3 linked regions of the Tamandua tetradactyla genome follow. The protein of the gene in region 2 purifies or fractionates together with the protein of the main gene of each other region. This does not show direct contact. Links are inferred from orthologs where the notes say so. Each region holds a gene or a part of one and is shown on either strand. Other genes may lie near its edges. The genes, in order: GDI1, RAB8A and GDI2.

Region 1 (7,785 bases), on a different chromosome or scaffold from region 2:
GGGCCAGAAACTAAGGCAGCTCTGGAGTAGAGGTGGCTACTGACCAAGCCCCAAATCAAGTTTCTGGGTCTCAGGGCCTCTCCTGGTGCTGCCCCTGACCAGACCACGAACAGAGTAAACCACACAGGTGGAGATTTTGGTACCTCACCCCCAAAGTCACCCCCAGATGCTCCTGGGCCCGTGTGACCCAAGTATGATGGCCAAGTCAACTAAGGTCATAGACGAGAAAATAGAAAACACTACAGAAACGCTGAAGTCCTACCTGCTAATACCGACTAAAGAAAGCTATGCCTCACCTTGCGAATCCCTGGGGCAGCTCACCAAGGCCATAGAGTGGGTACAAATAGGGGCTCTTGCCATACCGGGCCAGGGACTCGCTGTACAATTTGATGCGGTTGATGGTCTCAAGACAGGGTTGGTCCAGGTAGCTGAGGGGACAGGGGAGGGAATACTTAAGACAGGAGAACCCCCAGCTTACCCAAACCCAGGCACCAGGTCATCCTCCCTACCACCCTAGATGGTCTGGGGAAAAAATATGGGTCAAATCCAGGGATGGGAGGGAAGGACAGCAGGCTGAGTATGTGAGGGATATAGAAGAGGTGGGAGGAGTGAATAGAGAGAGGAACAGGCTGGCATGGGGGTACAGAACATCCAGGGATGTTCCTGCTGCCACAGAAAGGAAGCCCTGCGCCCTGTCCCAGCTTCCCCTCACTCATCAGTGCGATAGAGCGCCAGGGCGTGGCCAGTGAAGTCAATGACATCCTGGCCCAAGTCAAACTTTCGGTAGACGTCACGCATGCTGGTGGTCTGAGGGTCGACCCCTTCAAAGGTCTTGGGGTCGTTCTCATCAAAATTTGCCACAAACACCAAGAACTTGCGGAAGCGCCGCTTCTCAAACATGCCCATCAGATCTGCGGGAAACATTATAATAAGATGCACTAGGCATTGAAAGTAAAGCTCCTCTTTCCCCCGCGGTAGAGCCAGCAGCCAGGAACCCGCTCCTGGAGGAGTACTGGCACTGAAGCTGTGGGACCTTAGATTAAGCTCTCTACCCCTCTCAGCCTCGGTTTCCCCATCTGTACAAAAGGGGGTTGAGTGGGACAGACTTTAAGGGCCCTCCCTGTTACCACACTTAGGGTTCCTGGGTCAAATAGAGACTATTTCAAAGGCTGAAGTTTCTCCCAGGGAGTCTCCTCTCCACCCAGCCTCCGTGTCTGACTTCCCTTCCAATGTTGAGCCTGAGGAATCGTGAGAAGGGCAGTGAGGGATGACAGAGCAAGGGGCCTTGAGTACACTACTGCCTACAGAATGCAGCCTAAGGCCGGCCAGGCACTCCCTATTCTTGTCAATCAACTTCTACCCATATAGAGAACGCCCATCTCACCGGCATTGTTCCCTGGCCCAAGGCAATCACACTCACTGGAAGCCAAGGCCTCGGTCTCAGTGGACGGCACTTTGTAGATCTTGCCCCCCTTGTAGACAAAGCTGCCCTCAACAACCTTAAAGTCCAGGTAGCGAGTCACCTCAGTATACAACAGCATCTTCACCAGCTGCCCTGGGGGGTGGGTAGGGAGAGAAGAGCAAGGTGGGGGGGGGGAATCCCTCCTCATCCTCCAGCCTGACTGCTCTTCCTCTGGTCCTCCTAATCACCCTCACCCCCATTCCTCCATCATCTTCCTCACCATTGGCCATGAGAAATTTCGGGATCAGGTCAACATTCCAGTCTCGGCCCCGGCCCATTGATTCAGGGGGTCCCTCCTCGAATTGAAAACGCTTATATAGCTGCAAGCAAGAAAGAGAGAGATACCTTGAGGCCTGTCCCCTCCCTCCCTAACCCCCAACCCCAGTGGCCCAGAGAATGTGAGGTACGGCCTCGAGCCGCACGGCAAAGTTAAGCAGGAGTCTCGCCCAGGCCTGGGCCACGCCTCACCTCCTCCAAGGGTGTGATGGAGGAGCTCTCACCCCCGTAGTAGGGGTTCCGGTCCATGTGCAGCACCTTCTTCCCGTTCACAGACATGATCCCAGACAGGATACATTCCTGCAAGAAGAGGCCACCTGCCCACGTGCCCACCAGCAGCCCTGGCTGTTTCCCATCCCCACGCCTGAAAGGAGAGCCAACCCCGGGGAAGGGTCCTGCTGGGGTGGATGGCTCTTCCCATGACACCTTCCCAGGTTAGTCGCTTATCCTAAAAGTGGGGGTGATAGGTCACCTGGCTCCAGTCTCCTTTGTCACCACCTTGTGGGGCCAAAAGGGCAATAAGGAAAGAATTAACTCAGGGCCTGAGGGAGAAGGAGGGCATCCAGCAGATACGTGGACAGCCACTAGCCGGCCAAGAAAGTCTTCTGTCTATGCAGGGCCAGGACAATATGACACAACCCGCCACAGAGGAGATGGAGAGAAGAGCTAGTGGGACCACGAAGGGCCCCCTCCCCGGAAGGGAAGTGAGGAAAGGCTCGGCTCATTGCCACCCCTGCCTGGGCTGCTCTTTTTTCAGACCCTGACCCTGACCCTTCTGGGCCACGGACTGGGGGCCATGAATCCATCTGGGAAGCCGGCCCACTGGGTGCTGGGGAAGAGGGGGGAGATAAACATCCGCGCCAATCCGTGTCCCCAACCCAAGGACAAAGGCTGCGGATCCTCCTCAGCCCTAGTCTCCATGGGAAACCGGGGTGGGAGAGCGGGAAGGGGGGTGCTGCCCCCACTCCAGCTTCTTCTGGAACATTCCCTGGACTCCCTGGCCCCAGGAGACGCGAGGAAGACAGGTTATGCGGGGGCTACCCTGGCCAGCACTTCATCCCCCCGCCGGAATCAGGCAAGGTGGGAGAGGATATCGCCCGGGTGGGCTGCGTTTCCCGGGGGGGCGAAGGGAGGGGAAGAAGGCCGGGGACGCGGCGCGGGGGCGGCCGGGCTGGAGGGGCCCTTTAGAGGCGACGGCACCCCCGCGATGGGGGTGGGCGCCGTCGTGGGATGGACACCGAGGTGTCCCTTCGGAAAACGACGAGCGCAGGCGGCGTCGGGGAACGGGACCGGGAAGGGGGCGACCGGGAGCCGCATCATCGCGGGGGACGCCCGCCTGGGAGCCGGCAGGCCCCGACGCCGACTCACGGTGAGGCCGGTGCCCAGCACGATCACGTCGTATTCCTCGTCCATGGCTCAGCCCTCGGTGTCAGCGCCGGCTCCTCCTCCTCCTCCCTCACCTCAGCCGCCGCCGCCGCCGCCGCCGCCGCACTGGACCAAAGATGGCGGCACGGCTGTCAGCCGCACGACCCCTCCGCGGCGTCAAAGAGTCCCGGCCGCTCCCCGCCCCTGCCCCGCCCCCGGGCGGGCACGCCGTCCCTCGTGCGGTCCCCGGCCCGGCTGTCGGGGTCCCGGACCATAACCCTAGCGCAGCTCCCCGGGCGCGTCCGCGGAGCGGAAGGCCCCCGTGGAGGGCGGGGCAGGGACGCGCGGGCGGGGCGGCCGGTGCTGCGGCTCCGATCGGGATCCGTGCGCAGGAGCCGCGCGCCCCGCCCCGCCCCGCCCCGCCCCCCGGGAGGCTCGCGCGCGCCCCCGCGCCGTTCGGGCCGGCGTTCGCGGGTGCGCGCTGCTGCGGTGGCCCCCGCCGGGGCGGGGAGGATGGGTGGGGGGCACGAGTTGTGTTTTCCTCGGGGTTGGGGGGGGTGGGTGACGTGGTCAGGGTCCAGGCGGCCTTCCTCCCCCTCGTACCCTAACCGGCTAGGGTCCCCACCCCCGCGAGGCCTGTCCACCTGTCGGCCTGCTCCTCTCGGCCCCCGTCCCGCCCCCGCGCCGCGCGGCTTGCCCACATCCGGGCCCCTTCTCCCACAGCCCGCACGGTCCGCGGCCAAGCGCATCCCTTCTGCTCAGCGGGGAAATGAGGAAGCGGAGGCCCAAAGCAAGGCGACCCATTTTTATTTTAATGAAGGAAACACAACTGAGTACCCAGGGCTTCTGCGCCAGGCACTCCTGCTGGGGAAATGCCAGATGTCCAGTGATCGCACCCAAACCACCCGCCATGGAGGCTCCTGCCTTCCGAAACCACAGACAGAAACCCCGGTGTACTACTTATTTTTAACACGACATCACCAAACAATGTATCCTAGCAGGACGGCCAAGCAAGACAAACAATAAAAGAGCACGGCTGAGGCCCCCACATTCAGGGAGCCCCATTCAGCCTGGGAGCGTTGTCTGCGACACAAAAGCACTATAAACAGCAAAAGGTGGTGTTGGCCAGACGGGAATAAATAAGGAGAAAAGAGGGGGAAGGAACGGGTCCCTAGAACTTCCCTCCCCTCACACTGAGGGAACCCAGGAGATTTGTCTAAGATCCAGAATATGAACACCTTGGGGGTTGGAGCAGGGAGGGGGCCTCCCCTGGGAAGCCCCTCAGGGGCTGCAGAGTAGAGGGGGCAAGACAGGTTGTGGGCAGCTGGGGCTCCATGCAGGGGTCACACGATCTGGGTGAGGGAGATGGAGGGGCCCTTGTGGTCATCAAAGCGGTCCATGGTCTTGAGGCTGAGGAGCATGTGCAGGCCGTAAGTAAAGATGAAGAGCATGGCCAGGGAGGTGAGGAGGCCCATCCAGATGCCCGGCGAGAAGAAGCCTGCACAGTCGCTGGCATAGGAGAACCGCTCACCCGTCACGTTGAAGGCCTGGATCTGGGGCAGGAGCAGGACGCAAGTCAGAAACTGTGCTGGGACCTCCCAGCCTCTTCCCCCATCCCACCCTGGACAAGGCCTCTGCCACCACACCCCTTGCCGTGGCCCCGATACCCCCAATCCAGCTCGGCCCTGCCCCTATTCATACCTGGAAGTCCTGGAAAGTCAGGTCCCAGAGTGAGGGCTGAGTACGGGGCACAAGGAGATTGCCGTTCTCGGGGAGGCTGCTGACGTACTGGCAGTGGAAAGAGTAGTTGCTGGGCCCGGTGACCTGGGAGGCATTGAAGTAGATGATGGAGCCATTGCTGTGGATTTCCAGGCGCTCCAGGGTAAACCAGTACCGGGCCGACACCGGGTAGAAGCGGTTAGCCAGAATGAACCTGGGGGAGGGCCCAGGGTAGTCAGGCGTGCTGGGAGCCGGGCCATCCCAGCCTGCCCACACCTCTGGCACCCCCACAGGACTTACTTGAAGGTCACCATGGTACCAAAGAGCTGCTCATAGGTCAGTGCGAGCCTGAGAATCACAGTCGAAGGTATGGGGTCAGGCACAGATAGGGCCTCCTCCCACCTAAGCTGCCCCCAGGGCATCAGAGTCAGCCCAAGAGGTCATGCTGCCCACCATACAGATGGGAAAACTGAGGCCCAGAGAGTGAGAGAGACTTTCCCCCCATCACACTCCAAGTCAAGAATAGAGCTGGGGCCATAACCCAGGTCTCCCAACTCCAGTTTTGAGTTCTTTCCTCAGGTGGCCTGGAATACAGTGATCCCCTCCTCCTCCTTTCGGCTCCACCTTGGGGCTGCTGATGTGTCTGGGCTGGACTTGGCAGGTGGGGTAGAATCAAACAAAGGGTGGCAGTCTCTCTAGCCACACAGGAAGTATGCGTGAGACCCAGAACAGGGCCTGGTACCTGCCCGTGTTCACTCCAAAAGGCTCTGCTCAAGGGGAAGGCATAGGTCCCAGGTGACAGGAAAAGTATAAACAAAGGTCCAAACTGGGGAACAGAAAGCCCTGAGGTGGTAGAACTTGGAGCACCCCCCAGCTCCCCACATCCCCACAGCTACCACACCCCACAGCAACCACAGCCACGCTTGCCTCCGGCACACAGCCCCGCCTTGGGCAGGCCTATCGCCTCGGGTGCCACGGTTCCTCCCCAGCCAGAGTCCCCTTACCCAGCATAAGTATCATTCCAGAAGGAGCCGGTCAGGTTGAGATCCTGGCCAAAGGTGAGGGAGGTCAGGTCCTCTGAGTGGTCCCTGTATGACACAGAGAAGTTCTGGGCCCAGAATAGGATCCGGGGAGCTGTGTCATTGTAACTCACGGGGTGATGGGGCACTTCTGGCAGCATCTGCCTTTGTAGCAGCTGGCGACCGAGCCCCCCAGAGACCACTTCCACATCCCGGGCCACCTGTGGAAACACCCAACAGGCCACTTCTCAACAGCCTGGAACCAAGCTCCGACTCTCCTGCCCACCCTCTCCCTACAGGGCAATGCTCTCCACTGCCTCAAAGCCCCACTGGATGGAGGCAAAGGGCTCTCCTCCAGCCACCCCTCGAGCCTTGCTCATATCCATAATCCCCTAAATGTAGGAAGCACTCTGCTTATTTTCATAGTGTGCTAACTCGTAAGGTTCAGAGGGCAAGATTAAAGACCACTGGCTAGAGGAGGAAGGACTAGAACCTTACTCTTCAACGCCCCCCCCCACAAAGATGCTCCACACATAGCCTTTACCCAAAGTTCCCTTGACACTGGACTCTCCGGGAGCCCGGGTTCTCCTCACAGGAAGAGGGCACGTACCCGGGAAGGGCGGATGGCCGTGAGGGCTGCTGTGTACGGGACGTCTTCCGACTGGAGCATGCTCAGTACCTGCCCTATGACCTCGTCTGGGGGGAGGTGGGGAGAGCAGAGAAGCAGGTCACACAGCTGCCCCGTTCAGAGAACTACTTCCCCCCCCAACCAGGCTGTGAAACATCTCCAGCCCCACTGGAAAGTTCCAGGCTGCAGAGGTGTTGATACATCACTCGGCCACCTCACACCAAGGAACATGTGCTGTCAGGTGGTCCCCCTACTGATGAGGCTCAGTTGGGTCACTGGATGGCAGTGGGGCCCACCAGATGTCTCCACTGTGAAGTGCCCCCTTCCCTGCAATTGGTCTGTCACCTGTGGTGGGGGACTGAAATCCCTTTAGGGAGCCTGTTCCCTATCACCCCTCTCACCTGGCATTTTCACGAGCCACCCATGATCCCTGCCAATGGCAGCTATTTCCCAGGTTCTCTCCAGCCTCCCCTGGAACTAGAGTAGTCCTGGGCCACTCAGTGGAATAAGAATCTACATGTATTCAAAATTGCTTTTCGAAACATTATTGGTCTATTAAATATAAAACCCCAGCATTAAAAAAAAACAAAAAACTGCATTGGCTCTGCCCAAACAGCTCTCTTCAAAGACACTCAAAGACAGCACACAGAGGCTCCTTGGCCTCATGACCCAACTGCCAGGCAGAGCCCCGGCTAGTGAGCATTGAGGCCTGGGCACCACATGCAGTGTCCTGAAAGCTGCTACTAGTGGGCTGGGGCCCCACTGAGCACAAGAAGCTGAGGCACTGCTGCACCGTCTCTGCCAGCCTGCTCTTGGCAGTCCTGGCACCAGTTGGGTCCAAGGCTGGATAAAGCCAGCGAGGGGTGTCACAGAAGGGGCACCTGTCCCCAGTGCCACTCACCATTGCCTGTGAGGACTTCCTTTGGAGCCATCAGTCCAGAGCTATCAAACAGACAAGACAGTTAGCGCCCCCTCTTAGGAAGAGACAAAAGAGTTAGAGCCCCTTCTTGGGAAAAGACAAGAGAGTTAGAGCCCCTCCTTGGGGCAGCCCTGGCCCTGGGTCCCAAACAGCTGGCCTTCCTGCACCCTCCCCAACGTGGGGCTGGCCCTTCTCCCACAACTCCTGCCTCTCCACCTCTCCACAGCCCATACTCAAGGCTTACTGTCCTTTCCCACTATCCCTATCATGGAGCCGGCAAACTCCAACTAGGTGGCTCTCTGGGACCAATGCAGGAACCTGATCACAATCCCGACCCACCTTCTCCCCAGGCTGCAGAGTCCAGCTCAAGACCCTGCCACCTGCTGTTAGCAGCTCC
Region 2 (7,465 bases):
TGCCTCCTGCCCTGTTCAGGCGCCTCCTCAGGGGAGCCTTCCCTGACCACCTGTACTCTGTCCCCTCACCCTGCCTAGTTTTGTCCAGAGCACTTATAATGCGCTGAGGTTCCACATTTGCGTATTTGCTTCAGGAAACTATAAGTAATGGATCTGGAAGGCCTGTGGAGGTGAAATAACTGAACCCTGCCTCTGCCTCTGCCCCTGCCCCAAGCAAGGGGAAGCTGTTCCAAGGATGCGAGTTCCACCCTCACGAGCCTCAGGAGGTGTCCTGGGAACCAAAGTGACCGGACGTCTATGATTCAACAACCCCCCACCCCCACCAACTAGAACATACGTTCCCTGAGTGCAGGCGATACGTGTGTTTCAATCACTCCTCTACCTCCAGTGGCTCAAAATGGCAGGGGCTGAACAAAACACCTGTCAGATGCCCAGCCCTGTGCACAGGCTTCATGTACCTGTCTGCTTCCCTGATTCACCTCTGCAGCCCCTGCCCTGAGGCGTTTGCTGGCACAGGAGGCATGGGTGGAAGATGGCTGGAAGAGAGAATTCAGGGCAACAGGGCGTGTGTGGAGCTGTAGGATCATGAAAGCCTTTCCCGGACATCATCTATCTCACTGCAGGAATGAACGGGCCCCGAGGAGGTGCTGGGTGAACACAGCCCGGTCACCGAGAACTGATTCCAGGAGCCACAGGCCAAGTCCACACCACAAGCAATCAATGGAGCTGATGAGAAGAGCCTCTGGCAAAACATCCCCTGGGCAGCAAATGAACAGCCACGCAAGCTCTGATCTACAAAGAAAACCCAGGGATACAGGCAGTGCCAATCTAGAAATCACCTTTATGCACTGAGTCATATTTCAGGACTTAGAAGCCCAATGTTGGCTTGTCCTAAACATTTCTCTACTTCCTGACACAGATGTACTGGGATCCAGGAAATCGAGATGCACGGCTGAATATGCAGAGTCCAAGACAGCACTCTGCTCTGCACATCTCCTAGGTTTTACGAGCACACCAGATTTAATTAGGATGCAGCAAGTTTATGAGGGCTAAGAATTATGAGGCCATGACTTCAAGGTAACGGCAAATTTAACCTTCCCGGGCAGACAGAGAGCTGCAGCAAAATTACACATGTGATAGGAAGAATATTGGGGTGGCGGGGAGAAGGCTGAGTTCAACTCCACCTCCACCTTTCCGCATGACCTTGAGAGAGCTGTATTCTTGTCCGTGAATGGAATAGTCCAGATGCCTCCTTCCTGGGGCCCTAAAGGTGCTGCATGGGGTTTCAGGGTTGAAGATTTAAAATCCAAATGAAAAACTCAAGTTCAGAATTTATCTCACTGGGGCACGTGAGGAACAAGCTGGAAAACTGAGGTCTGGGGCTGAGCACAGTGGGCCAGGAGTTAATGTCACTTCCTGGTTGGTGGGGAGGCAAGAGTTATTCCAAGGGCTGACCTTGAGGGTGGAGGGGGGAGGATTCTGATACACTTGTGCCCAGGGAGATGCTACCACCTCAGGAGCCATCCTGCTGCCTCTAGGTGGTCTCGACCTCTTAGTCCAGGTGGAGTTCTGATCCTCAGCCCCAGGCCTGGCCAAGGCAGAGAGCTCTGCTCTTAATCTGAAGACATCGGTCTCGGAGAGGTGGAGGGACTCCTCCAAGGCCAAACAGCTACTGGAAGGCAGGTCTGATGCCCTCTGGTCCAACGCTCTCTACCTTACATCTAACACTTGACTTGATTTACGGCGCTCTAGGTGAAGGACAAGGATGGATTGAGCACCCTCGTCATGGGGTTCGAGGAGAAACAACGACTTGGTCAAAGTTACACGGGGATAAAACAAAACCCACCCACTAGGTTTTCTCCACTCAGCTAAACTCTCAGCTCTGGCTGAGGCCACTCCGTTTGGTCGATGTTCCTGACAGATCCAGCTTTCTCAAGTGAGCAATGACTGCTTTGTGGAGCAAAGAGAAGTCAGCTCCATTTTGGTGGATGTCAGAACTGAGGTGCAACCAGCCAATTCTGCTCAACCACAATGTGGGCTGGCTGTGTGGGAAAGCCTCTTTTGCAAAGTGACAACCGACATCCTGGGCCACGCGATAGGGAAGCCGAGGCTGCTTGCGGCGGAGGCTGGTTTTTGTTTCTCACTGAGGCTTTTTTATCTGGCAACTCCTTGCAGATGAGGATCCCAGGGTGGACAGCTGTCACCCGTCATTGCTGTCACCCTCGACTGGGATGGAAGGCAGGGCAGGGAAAGGTCACCAACTCCCTCTCACTGCTCCTTCTAGACAAAAAATTCACCCATGGGAAACAGGACAAAGGAGAGGGCTCAATTTGGGGACATGGCTCTGGGGTCTCAGGGCTGTGTGCTGGCGTCCATCTGCGACAGCTGCCCCCGGCATTTTGGGGTCAGGCACCCCTGGGTTCTAAACCCATCCTTGCTACCTGCAGACCGTGTGACCTTGGGTAAGTCCCTACTCCTCCCCTCAGTCTCCTCTGTAACGCAGAGTTCTGCTCGGGGCGTGAGAATGCACAGAAAGAGCCTGGCCACAAGAACAGGGGCTCAGCGAGTCCCGACCCCACGGTCAATTCCCCAAGCCTCAGTGTCCAGTTCTGCACGTCGGGGGGCCTCCAAAGGACCGCCTGGAGGTGTGCTGCGAGCACAGAACGAGAGGACGGGCGCGAAGACCCCAGGCCACGACAGACACTCCTAGACGAGAGGCTGAGGATGGGAGTCTCAGTTACCCCACCTGCAAAATGGGCACTCGCCCCGCTCCCTGCGGCCCGTGGAGCCCCCGAGGGGAAGCGGAGGCGGGGGCTCTCCGCCCCTCAGGGCCCCTGACGCTCTCCGACCCCTCCGCCCTCCCCACCTGCTCCTCAGGGGCGCGCCCGGACCGGGCCTCTGGCGTCCCCACAGAGGCCCCGGCCGCTCCCCGGCCGCGTTACCTATGGTGGAGATGAACGTGGAGTTGAAGGCGTCCTCGGAGAAGCGGAACAGGACACAGGTCTTCCCCACCCCCGAGTCCCCGATCAGCAACAGCTTGAACAGGTAATCGTAGGTCTTCGCCATATTACACTCTGTCTCCGACGGGAAGTGCGGCCGGCTCCTCGCCACTGGTCGCCGGCCCCGTCCATCAGCGCCGAGCCCGCCCACCATTGGCTCCCGGCCCGCCGAGCGTCATCGCGGCCGACGCCCGCCCCCGAGGCCCGCCCAACGCGCGGGGCCGGAAGCGGTCCCAGCGCGCCTCCCATTGGCCGGCGTTCGGGATAGGGCGCGCTACGATTGGCCAGCGGTGAGTAGTCGACGGCCTTCAAACGGGGAACGGGACGGAGGCGTGACCTCCAGTGGCCACGCCTTCCCGCCCGCAATTCTGGGGAGGCCCCGCCCCCTTAGGGGAGGGGTGGAGGGCAGGGAGCGTCGCCAACGGCCCTGTGCGCCGGAGGCTCGGGGGCGGGGTCTAAGGACTGCGCACGCGCCCTGGGGAGACCGTTGGGCGCCAGCAGAGGGCGCACACGCGTGGTGGGGCGGGAGGGATGTCTCCGGGGTCCGCCCTCAGAGTCCGCGCAGGCTCAGTAGACGGCGGGGCGAGCGCGGGAAGGGACGGTGGGCGGAGGCGGCGGCTGGAAGCCTTGGTGTTGGGTCTCGGGGTGCTGAAGAGGAAAGCAGGGAAAGGGCGCTCGTCGCGGTCGAGGAGCGGCCTCTGGAGATGTGCTCCGGGAGTTCCGCCGGCCTGGGAGCCCGCCTGGGGATAACCCGGCCTCCGCCACCCCAGTCCCCTGAGGCGCGTGGGCCTCCTCAGGACGGGCCCGCGGACCTAATCAGAGGTTGTGGGGACCCCCGAGATCTGTCCCCACGCCCCGTCCGCCCTCGGAGGCGCGCTCGGGGGCCTGAGGGGCCAGGGGAGGCGCGCAGGCCGCCTTCTCAACACTTCATATCTTGAACCCTCGCACTGACCCGAGGCCGATGTTGATTGTTGATCCCCGTTGCGTGCGGAGGAAAGGGAGGCCGGCGACAGGTCACTTTCCCTGCTACGGAGGTGTGTGAAGATGGGTTTTGCACCCGAGGCGGGGGCCAGCTGCAGACCCCGAGCCCTGGATCGCTCCCCTTCCCGCCTCTCAGAGCCCGAGCCGCCTCGCCGACGTGCCGGCTGTCAGCCTGGCCTCGCGCCTCAGGCCGCCCCCGGGGCACCGCGAGAGGCTGCTGGAAGCCCTTAAGGTCCTTCCCAGGAGAGGCTCGGCCTGGCTCCAGGATGGCCCGTCTAGCTCTGCTCAAGAAACGCTTCAGGCCGCAGCCTCGGCGCTGTTCTGACCATTGGTCACCTCTGGAAAGGCTCTTTTCCTCGGCGCTTTCCCCAGCCGGCCCGTGGCCCGCACCCAGTTCTGCCTCTCTCTGGGTGCTGCGTCGCACCCCGTCAGCGCCTTTGGGCAGATGTCGGCTTGTGCCTTGAGCGGAGCTCCTTGTGGCTCTATGTCCCGAGCCCTCTGTTCGCATTTTCGGGGCCTCTCATTCACTCTGTGACTTCCCAGGCCTCCAAGGATGGTTCAATTTTTCATTCATCGCCTCCCCATCCCTGCGTCTCTGGGGGCCTTGACTTCTACCGCTGGATTTGTCAAAAGTGCTTTCAACTCAGCGTGTGCACCGCTGAACTCATCGTCTTCCACTCCAGCTTGCTGGTCCAGAACTGTCTTCTGTGTGAAACCTGCCTTTGTGGCCACCACCTCCTCACCCCTTACCTGCGGGCTCTTGGGGAGGTTCTGAATAGCTCCCGAATCCTCCTCCTCCATTTCAGAGTCACAGCCAGGCCCTCACATCTCCCTGCCGGTCTCTCCCAATCCTGCAGAGTTCATCCCAAGACACTGTCCTCTAAGCATAGCCATCCCCCTGGTTGAAATCCTTCAGTATTCCCTGAGCAGGGTAAAGCCCAGAACCTTTACTGAGTGTACAAACCCCTGCCCCCCGCCACAGTCTGGCCCTCACCTCACCCTGCGATCCACCCGTGTGCCACAGGGGTGGGCGGTTGCGGAGAGCTGGAGTGGGTTGGGTTAACAGGCGGTGAGCACTTAAGCTACGTGCTGAGGCACAGGACTGAGTAAAACAGTTTCCAGAGAGAAGGTGGTGGTGGGAAGGCTGAGAACAGAACAGCGAAGAGAAAACTTCAATCACGCAGTGGTGTGGCAGGGGAGGGGGCTGTGCGTTATACATTATTCATGGCATCTACCCTCTAACCAGGCTCAGTGTCAGGACAATGTTAATATGAGGGAAGTGCTTTTCACTGCATTTGATAACAATTGCTGGCATCCTGTATTTAACTTTTTGAAAAGCTTTCACTTCTCTTTTTGATGCATTTCCTTCCCTCCCCACCCCCAGTTAAGGAGCTCTTGAGGCAGGATGCCAAAGCAGTTCAGGTAGTGAAACTGCAGTGGTCTCTGACACCCTCTTCTCCAAGCTCCCCGCCATGCAGTCAGCTACTCTTAAGGCTATTTCCATCAGGCCATCTCTTGCCTCCTATTGGCAACCACTATCCTGGATTATTGAAACATCTTCCTGCCTGAAAACAAAACGCTTAAGTTGATTTTCCTACTATACTGCTGTGATCACTCAAGTCGTCAGCCACACTCCACTCCTGACCAAATTGACTCCAGATTCTCATCGGTCTGAACCCAGCCTACCTTCCTGCTTTCTCACTTTGACTTTCCTTTTGATGTCCAACACACAGGAAACCTCGCCCTAGCAGATAACGGGACCATCTTCCCAGCGCGGCTTGAGCAGGACCGGGAATGACACAGGGCAGAAGCATTTGAGTTCCTGAGGCAAAATGCTCTCATGTGTCATGTGGCACTCATAATCCTTGCATCATGAAATCATGGTATAAAGCAAATAAATAACATTAACTAAGTTCTTGGCACGGTAATCTTCTTTTCCTTCTCATTAACATTTGTTGGCTATTGAGACCCAAAGTGCCTTTTACTCCCCTACACATCCCAAAATTCACACACATTGTAGTTTATGTAAAAATTTATTTGGCCAAAATGTAGAAAAAGTGATACTATTACATATGATACAGTTGCAAGAAAGTGTGGGTTTTATTCAGTTGCTCAGTTTGCTAGTGTATCTCCTGGGTAGTGTGATGCTTAATAAATAGGAGTGAGGGGCAGGGGATTTGGATAAACTAGAAGCAGGGTCACTTTTTAGCCGGAATTGTAAACTTGAGTTGGCCCCCACACTTCTGGGGAATGTGGAATGTTTCAGTTCTGAGATGTTAACTGAGAAAGCAGAACTATCGCAAAGGTAAAATGTGCAGTTCTGTCTACAAAATGCTCCAAATCCAGTTTAATCAGGAGTTTCTTGGTCTTTTACTCACTTGATCCCGAAGAAGGAATTAAAGTCCTAAATTTAAAAATCTTCAATTTGCCATTCTCTGAACTATGGAGATGAAGTTGGGTCAGTAGCCTTTTCATTCCAGCTTTGCTGCCAGAGAGACCCCTTCTGCCTGGTATTTGTTGATTAAAAAAAAACAAAAATCCTTTTGCCCAATTTACTGATGGCTTGCATTCTCTTTGATATGGCAGCCGTGAATTGTTCTGAACTTTGCCATATCCATTCCTCCAGAGCGGATGGCCTTACTGAATAGGGTAGGCAGCCAAGGGGCATTATTGGAATAAGCCATCTGCTCCCCAGAGGCCAACTTTAGAATGAAATAAACGTCAAGGATCTATCCAGAAAATGTGGGTTATTATTATGACTGTTTCCCAAGCATTCCATGCTGACTGCTCAGAGGATGTTTGCTGTGTACAGTGGAGTGTGGAGAACAGCCAAGATGATTAGGCTACTCTGCATGTGGTTTATGACTTTCCTTAAGAGTCCTTTTTTCTTTTCTTTCTTTCTTGCTCTGGATGGAAAATCCCCACCCATTCTAATGTGATGGTCCCTCGCCTCCTGTAGTGTGACCAAAGGTGAGCCCAAATGGTTCTGTTCTTCAGCCTTTTAAGTTGACCCATGACTAGATATTGGAGTCTGTATTCTTGAAAGTGTGGGGTTGTCTAGTCTCCCAGGAACCAAATACCCTGCCTAAGGAATAAATGCAACATAAGGGTAAAAAGAGAGCTGAGAAAGCCAGTGCCATGGAAAAGAGGAAGGAATTAAACTTAACAGGTGCTCAAAGCGTCTCTGATAACAAAATATTTGGTCATGGATTCATAGGTTTGCTCGACATTTCCAGCAAAGAGAAAGATGCGATAACGAAAGAAACTTCTTACAAGAGAAGAGAAAGACCGGAGCTCTGAACAAGACTCTTCTGTTTTGGTTATATACAGTTAAGTTCGTTTAGCGTCTGATCCAGTGTCTGATGTAAGCCCACGTTCTCTTCTTTGGCCTGGGCAAGTTTTTCTGGTGAGGATTAAGAAAACAGGGGGAAAATGAAATTAATATGCATTTTTATAAAACAGAGGGAAAAGAAGGTTTCCAAACC
Region 3 (7,246 bases), on a different chromosome or scaffold from region 2:
TGATCACGGATTTGCACGCCTTTGTCCATGCTCAGCTGACCTTCTTAACGAGGAGCAAATCTGAAAGGTCAGCAAGAACCCTAGAAAAGCAGTTAACTGGTTTACAGACATGCTGGCAGAAACAGACTTCATTTCAATAAGCAAAATCCACCACAAACTACGAAAAGCTCTGAATCTCAATTAGGCACTCAAACAAACAAACAAATAAAAAACATGCAGGGGGTAGGCCTAGTGATCTAGGGTCCTAACAGTCTTCCAACTCACTACCAAAAATGAAATTCAACTGAATCTGTCATTCAAAAACTGTAAATAACTCTGTAGGTAAGTAATCTCATCTATCTGGTAATATTTCTTCGGGTCAAACATAATGGAGCCTTTAGAAATGAGTACTTTTCAACAATCACCCTAAATTACTATGAAGAGAAATATGACAAGATGAGAAAGATGCAGTGCTAATTCTTAACAATCTTTTCTTATAAAATTGGCCAAATAAGAATTTGAAGGTTTCCTCTTGCTTAGAAAAACCTAAAGTAGTTCTTTTGTGGTGTTACTTCAAAAAAATACTAATTTGTCCTGAGGGATTACAATGTGTTTCTACCAATTTGAATTTGTGTTTTGCATCAAATGACTACGGAATTTGAGGTTAGATTGATTAGGATACACAAGATATACATCAGTGCTCTGCTTAAGACAAGAAGTAGCCATAAGGTAGAATTTCAAATGTCCAAAGGAGTCTGATACTCAAACTGGTCCTGCCTTCAAATGGAACTGTTTTACAAGAATAACCGTTTTCCTTTTCTTAAAAGAGCATGAAAAAAAAGAAATACAAGACACACCTTCACCCTCAGAGAACCTCTTTTGCTGCTCAGATGTGACCTCTCTAAGACAGCTCAGCAGGTAAACTCACTGCCCTCCCCTGCATGTGGGACACAACTCCCAGGATAAGCTAGGACCCTGCATTATGGAACTGAGAGAGCCTTCTTGACCAAAAGGGGGAAGAGAGAAATGAGACAAAATAAAGTTTCTGTGGCTGAGAGATTTCAGAGTCAAGAGGTTATCCTGGAGGTTATTATTATGCATTATATAGATATCCCTTTTCAGTTTATGGTGTACTGGAGTGGCTAGAAGAAAGTACCTGAAACTGTTGAACTGTATTCCAATAGCTTTGATTCTTGAAGATGATTGTGTAACCATATAGCTTTTACAATATGACTGCATGATTGTGAAAAGCTTGTGGCTGTTGTTCCCTTTATCCAGGGTATGAACAGATGAGTAAAAAAATAAGGACAAAAATAAATAAATAATGGAGGTGGAAGGGGGTAAGGGGTAAAAAAAAAGTGGACAGATTGCAATACTAGTGGTCAATGAGAGAGGAGTAAAGGGGTATGGGATGTGTGTTTTTTTCTTTTTATATCTTTTTCTGCAGTGATGCAAATGTTCTAAAAATGATCATCGTGATGAATACACAATTATGTGATGATACTGTGAGCCAGTGATTATATACTTTGGATGGACTGTATGTATGTGACTCTACCTCAAGAAAAATACTTAAAAAAAAAAAAGATAAAACACCCGCCTGAATTATTTGCAGACTATCTCCAGATCTCTAAACAGACAGATACACAGGAAAATGAATATACCATACTATTAAGAAAGCCTTGCATTCCTATTACTATCGATTCTTAATGCTGTTATTGATTTGTCTTCTAAATCCCGGAAGAGTATGGCAGCAGAGAGAGAACTTGGCCTCTAGCAATCCATCATCAATCCATCTCTTTAGGATAAAACATGTGGAAGAGACGATGGAGGCAGGGGCAAACCAAACAAAAGGAAAAGACGGCAAAACATCTGACAGACAAGTTTTGAGAAAACAAACTCATTCCCATTCTATGAACGCTCAAAAAGTAGGAGGGGAGGGAGGTTAAAAGGAATGGATAATGCTTCTTATTTTGTGCTGGAGGGGAAGGTTAAAAAAAAAAACCACAAAATTTATTTCCTCCAAACTTTTAAGTTAATTAAACTCTAACAATTACAAAACTGTAATTGTCCAGACGACTTGTCACAAAACCTTTTACCTAACCTTGGCGGCCAAAGACTGACTAGTAGCAGTTGCAGGCTAAATAGGAAATGCAACTGCGAGTGGCTTCCACCCTCCCCCACTTTGCCTTGCGCTTTTCCGTTTCCAACCCGGAGAGCTTAACAACCCAAAGGCAGGTGGAAAAGCGTTTGATACCCCTATCCAGGCTTCTTTTTTCTTTCCTTTTTAATTCTGTATTAATTCTAGTGAAACTCTCGTTTTCCACCTACTTTTATCTCAAACTTAGTGTTTCATCATGTACTTAACTGGCTCCTCAAACTAAAGTCCTGGGTTTTCAATTTCCTGGTCTTTCCTTCCACATTAGAGACAACACACTCCACCAACCTAGGCTGCCATGAGGTTAGGAGAGTGCTGGATACTGCCGCGGGTTGCAACTCCTTCCAAACTCATGCACCCAACTAGCGAAAACCTTTCCCAACACCCTTCGACAATACCTTCCCGTAAAAAAAAGGAAGAAAGAAAAGAAAAAGAAGAGCAGGCCAATAAAGAAAGTATCAACGTAGACACACGAAATTGCAAGGCGGTTGGCCCTAGGCAGTCACCGCAAACCCGGGATTCGGGAAAAGAAAGGCCGGCAGGTTGTGAGTCCTCGCGCCGGAGGGAGAGCCCACGCCTCCTCCAGCCACAGGTCGGAGGAGCAAGAGAACAGTGCCGGTAGCAACAAGACGAGCTGGCCAAGGAGGTCGAAAGGCTGCCGCCTGGGTAAGGGCACGTAGTGGCCGGGCCACCCGGATCTCCCTGGCACTGCCCATCCGCCCTTGCACGACGCCCCTATCTCCCCTCCTTGGCCCAGTCCGGCCGCCCGGATCATCTCGGAACTGACGGCCTCCTCCCTCCCGAGCGCCTCGGCCGCGGCCGTCGCCTGAGACTCACCGTCAGGCCAGTGCCCAGCACGATCACGTCGTACTCCTCATTCATGGCGGGGAAAGAGAGAGAGAATAGAAGACGCGAAGGTGAAGGCGCAGGGATTCTCGAGAAAGGGAATCTCTCTACCAATGCGGAGGAGACGGAGGAAACGCTCAGACCGGTTTCGAGAACAGAGAGAAGGGCAAATAGGACCAGCGGTAAAATGGAGCTGAAGAGGAGACGAACTCAGCCGCCACCTCAGAAGGGAAGAGAAGAGCTCGTAAGGCGGGGGAAGGGATAGGAAGGGGGGAAGGCGGGGCAGGAGACGGCAGCCCTTCTCGGCCCGGGGGAGGGACCTAGCGGGAAGCCGTCAATCAGGCCCCTCCCGCTCGTTCATTGGCTACGTCCCCATCATTTGCCCAACCTTCTTCCTCTCCTACCTCGCGCGAGAAGAAAATGGAGCGTAGGCATCTCGAGTTCCGGTTCCCCTTTTCGTCCCTGCCACGGTGGTTGGGGAGCGGAGGCGACCTCACTCCGGGCGGGGCGGGGGTTGGGGAGTCGGTTGGGCCGGATGAAGGAGGAGAGTGGCCCTAAGCCTTTCTGGGAATGCAGTCGCGGCCCAACTCCCTGTCCCCTACTGCCGCCCTTGGACTTTGAACCGGTGTGCGCTTTCTGGTGTTGCCTGCGGCCACGTGGGACAGACGGAGCTCTCGGGGCACCGCTGGGTCGGGGGACTTGTGGGGTGCTCAGGTTGCCGCATGTTCAGGAACGCGGACTGCGTCACGGCCCTTCATCCCCGGCTGTCGTTCCTCAAGGATTTGCAGCCCCTTTTCATGCCAGGTCTGGGATTGCTGGCTGGGGAGGTTACAGAACGTGGCCAGACACCCGCTGCAACCTGCAGGCGGGATGGGCAGACTAGCCTTTGGCGTTACCACTGGGCGGGTGCTCTCGGCGCCCAAACAGCTTCTCTGCCTCGGGGTGCCGGAGTGCTAGGTGCAGGGTCTCATGTTTGTTACTTGTAACTTAGTTTCTGTTTCACTTTTCTCTTCCTCCTGCTTCACTTTTCTGAAAAGCAAAGGGAAAATGATCCAACATTTTTGGGAGTTCGGACCTTCTATGTGTTTTACAGTATTTCCCACTACGTCATTCTTGCGTGGTGACGTACCTGCCCGTGTGCGTCCTTAGAAATTTGGGGTAAAAAAAAAAGCGCCTCTTTTTAAAAAATAACCCTTATTGATGATATTGTGAAACCACTGAGTGTACACTTTGAATGATTACATGGTATGTGAGTATATAATATATACGTATCAATGAAAAGTAACCCTTAGCACAAATAAAAGGGAAAGTGAGATGTGATTTGGAAGCAGACCTACCCCTGCCTGTTGAGAGCTATAACTTAAACCAGCTATAGAAATAGCTGACCAGGAAATGAAAGGGGGTTTAGCCTTTATTTCCCCTTGCGCCTCATCCCCTCACGTTTTAGGATTCTCACAGGAATTTCCACCTTTGGGCTTGAAGACAGATGTTAAATAGTGGCTTGCGTTCTCTTAACCCGAAGAGAGACCTTCAAGACAAGTGATTTTCCTAAAGGCACTGATAGTTGTAAACTTGGGCTTTCTGCCATGAATGAATTGCACACTCAGCAGACAGTATGGATTTGCTATTTTCCTCAAGATTTACTGAACTATAGCTAGAAAAGACCTATTCAAAATGAATCTTGGCACTAGGATTTCCCTTCCCTTCCGTATAAATCTTTCAGATTGAGGAAAGAAGGTAAATTTTTAAAAATGTATTTTTTTATTGAGAAATCTTCACACATATAAACGGTAACGATTTTTTACATTGTTTCTTCACCCCATAGAGACAGTTTAGGAAAGTATGTTATAATGGACAGTGGACTTTTTGGGGAGGAGTAAGGGAGGAGGGAGCAAGCTCTTAAATACAACGTTAACTGAATTTGTAAACATTAGTGAACGAATGCACTTTCAGAAGGTTACAAAATCAGGTGCAAAGTTTACTAGAATACTGAACCAATTATACAGCCATTGGTGCAATTGACTTTCTATTTCCTAAACAGATACCTTAAGAAGCTCCTGCTGTTTGTTGTTTTATCTTTCTAAAAGTAATCAGGATTCTGCTTTTTAAAAGTAACAATAGTAATAAAGAGCCTTTTTCGTGTATAGCCATCGGTATCTGGGTGTTGAAGAGGGTTTTAAGCATTATCAGCTGAATTATGTGATCATGTTTTAAGTGAAGGATATTTCATCGATATTCAGATGGAGTTACTGAAAGATTAAGGACTTGGGTTGAAGGATCTGAATTTAAGGCTAATAAGGCTTAGTCTTAATATTTGCTTGTTGGTCATACTAGGTCTTTTGGCCCTGCAGAAGGATAAAAAAAACTACACATGATCAACAGATCAAGTCTTTCCAAATTCTTGGGTCTTCCACCTCCATCTAAGGAACTTGGTAACTTGACAAGGAACTTTGGCAACAATTAACAAATATTCTTTGTGTTGAAGTGGCTTAAAAGCCACTAAATGGTTCAGTGCAAAGCAGGCCACAGATGGCAGTTCTCTTTTTTTTTTGGCACTGCAAAACTGTGTTTTTTTTTTTTAATGTCAAGTCCAATATCCTGAAACATACATATATTTTGATAGTCTTCTAATCCCAATTCAGTTAAAATATTAAAGTAACACTCACAAGCTAAGGGAATTCAATATTGTTGCAAGACACTTACTGAATCTCCATGATTAGATGTGAAACAAGAACAATTAGGATGGACAATCAGACAGTACATAATATAAAAATAACTTTTTGCTTACAATTTACAAAATATTATTACAGTCTTTGATCTCTGATAACCTGCAATGCTGGCTGCATGAATCCAGCAGTTTTTAAATTCAGAAACTATTTTCTAAAACTTCAGGGCAAATAATTTGCAAGTAAGGTACACAAAGATTTAGACCATGCAGAGATTTCTTACATCGTCTATTAATAATATTTTATGACTTCAGCCTTATCAAATATATACCTACTTCCCCTGTACATATACAAAATAACACATACATGATAAAACATTAGCAAAAGAGTAGTTCTTAAACTCAATATTTATCATAAAAGTATAACTATATTGACATGTTTACAAGCAGTGTGTAACAGGGTTAAGAGACATTAAGGCAATAATACTTGAAGTTACAAAATAAACCATATGTAATACTTTTTCTTAAGTGTAGTATAAGGCAGGTAGATGGTCCCAGCAAAAGATATTAAGGTAACAATCTACACTGCTGTTAGTCCCACATTTTTAAGATGGAATACTATAAATCTGGCTTTCAGAGGCACTTGAATTTTTCCATTATAATTTGAAGTCTTTTTATCTTCCTGCATCATGTCCGTTCTGAAGGTGAATCTCTTGGTCCTTTAGGTTTTCCACCACTATCTTTGATTTCTGTTGGGCTTTCTGATACTTGATCTTTCTTCTCACTGAAAGTAAGTGAACATTCTATACTAGTCTCTGTGAACCCCTTCTGCTGGATGATCAGATTTTTCATTTCTAGAGGTTATCAGGCTTTCAGATTTTTTGGTTCAGATTGTTCCTTATTTTGAAGTTCACTCCATTCAGATCTGACAGTTGTATTATGTTCACTTGCTAATACAAAAGATTCAGGAGTTCTTTCGGGTAGTGGAGGAGGTGAATCTTCATTAATGTCAGCATCTGAATTTATCATCCCTGCTATTTCATGTCTAGCAATGGACATTGGCAATACTTTCCTAGCAGAAATGGGTTCAATACTAGTGGCAGCAGAAACCGTGACACTTGCTGTTGAATTATTAGTTTTGTTCTGGGTCACAACACCATCAGAGGTCCTCTCATCCGAGTCTGAGTCCAGAAGGCAGTTCTTGCTAGAGTGAAACTTAGGTCTGGGGGAAGTAAGTTGATTGAAAACATGTCAGATCTCTACACAAAGCAGGAGTTCAGTGGGGATCGAATTTATATATGGGTAGTTGGAAATAGTTGGCTGATGTTTCTACTGGGCCTCCATCTGCACTTCACAAAGGAAGAGACTAAATCTAAGCAAAGAAAATATTAGAGCAAGCCACCTTTTTCTCTCTCCTAGACCACTGGAGAGAACTGGCAGCAGTTTCCTGGCCAGGTCTACTTCCCACTTTTGACTCTCCTCCTATCTATTCTATTGTCTTATTACAAGGTGAATCTGGTCATGTTGATGCTTCTACATATCTTTCACATTAGAATAAATTTGCCAGTTCCTTAATATGGTCAACAAGGAATTGTTTAATC

Evidence for each region.
Region 1: the proteins of RAB8A (region 2) and GDI1 purify together in Homo sapiens (co-immunoprecipitation; 6 studies listed by BioGRID and IntAct, counting the BioPlex papers as one, with this or other methods). This does not show direct contact. The link is inferred for Tamandua tetradactyla from reciprocal best matches to the Homo sapiens genes RAB8A and GDI1.
Region 3: the proteins of RAB8A (region 2) and GDI2 purify together in Homo sapiens (co-immunoprecipitation; 5 studies listed by BioGRID and IntAct, with this or other methods). This does not show direct contact. The link is inferred for Tamandua tetradactyla from reciprocal best matches to the Homo sapiens genes RAB8A and GDI2.

Annotation. Positions count from the first base shown.
Region 1 is NC_135353.1:6,666,850-6,674,634, reverse strand, and holds the start of GDI1 (rab GDP dissociation inhibitor alpha), read right to left. Parts: upstream 3,249-7,785; 5' UTR 3,152-3,248; coding exon 3,107-3,151; intron 2,039-3,106; coding exon 1,931-2,038; intron 1,783-1,930; coding exon 1,683-1,782; intron 1,556-1,682; coding exon 1,421-1,555; intron 912-1,420; coding exon 713-911; intron 429-712; coding exon 297-428; intron 1-296. Other genes in the region: ATP6AP1 (V-type proton ATPase subunit S1), read right to left, coding at 4,447-4,656, 4,805-5,036, 5,123-5,170, 5,827-6,062, 6,452-6,537, 7,371-7,411. UniProt on the Homo sapiens protein: Regulates the GDP/GTP exchange reaction of most Rab proteins by inhibiting the dissociation of GDP from them, and the subsequent binding of GTP to them. Promotes the dissociation of GDP-bound Rab proteins from the membrane and inhibits their activation.
Region 2 is NC_135337.1:94,766,152-94,773,616, reverse strand, and holds the start of RAB8A (ras-related protein Rab-8A), read right to left. Parts: upstream 3,134-7,465; 5' UTR 3,067-3,133; coding exon 2,943-3,066; intron 1-2,942. UniProt on the Homo sapiens protein: The small GTPases Rab are key regulators of intracellular membrane trafficking, from the formation of transport vesicles to their fusion with membranes.
Region 3 is NC_135333.1:58,228,712-58,235,957, reverse strand, and holds the start of GDI2 (rab GDP dissociation inhibitor beta), read right to left. Parts: upstream 3,262-7,246; 5' UTR 3,017-3,261; coding exon 2,972-3,016; intron 1-2,971. UniProt on the Homo sapiens protein: GDP-dissociation inhibitor preventing the GDP to GTP exchange of most Rab proteins. By keeping these small GTPases in their inactive GDP-bound form regulates intracellular membrane trafficking.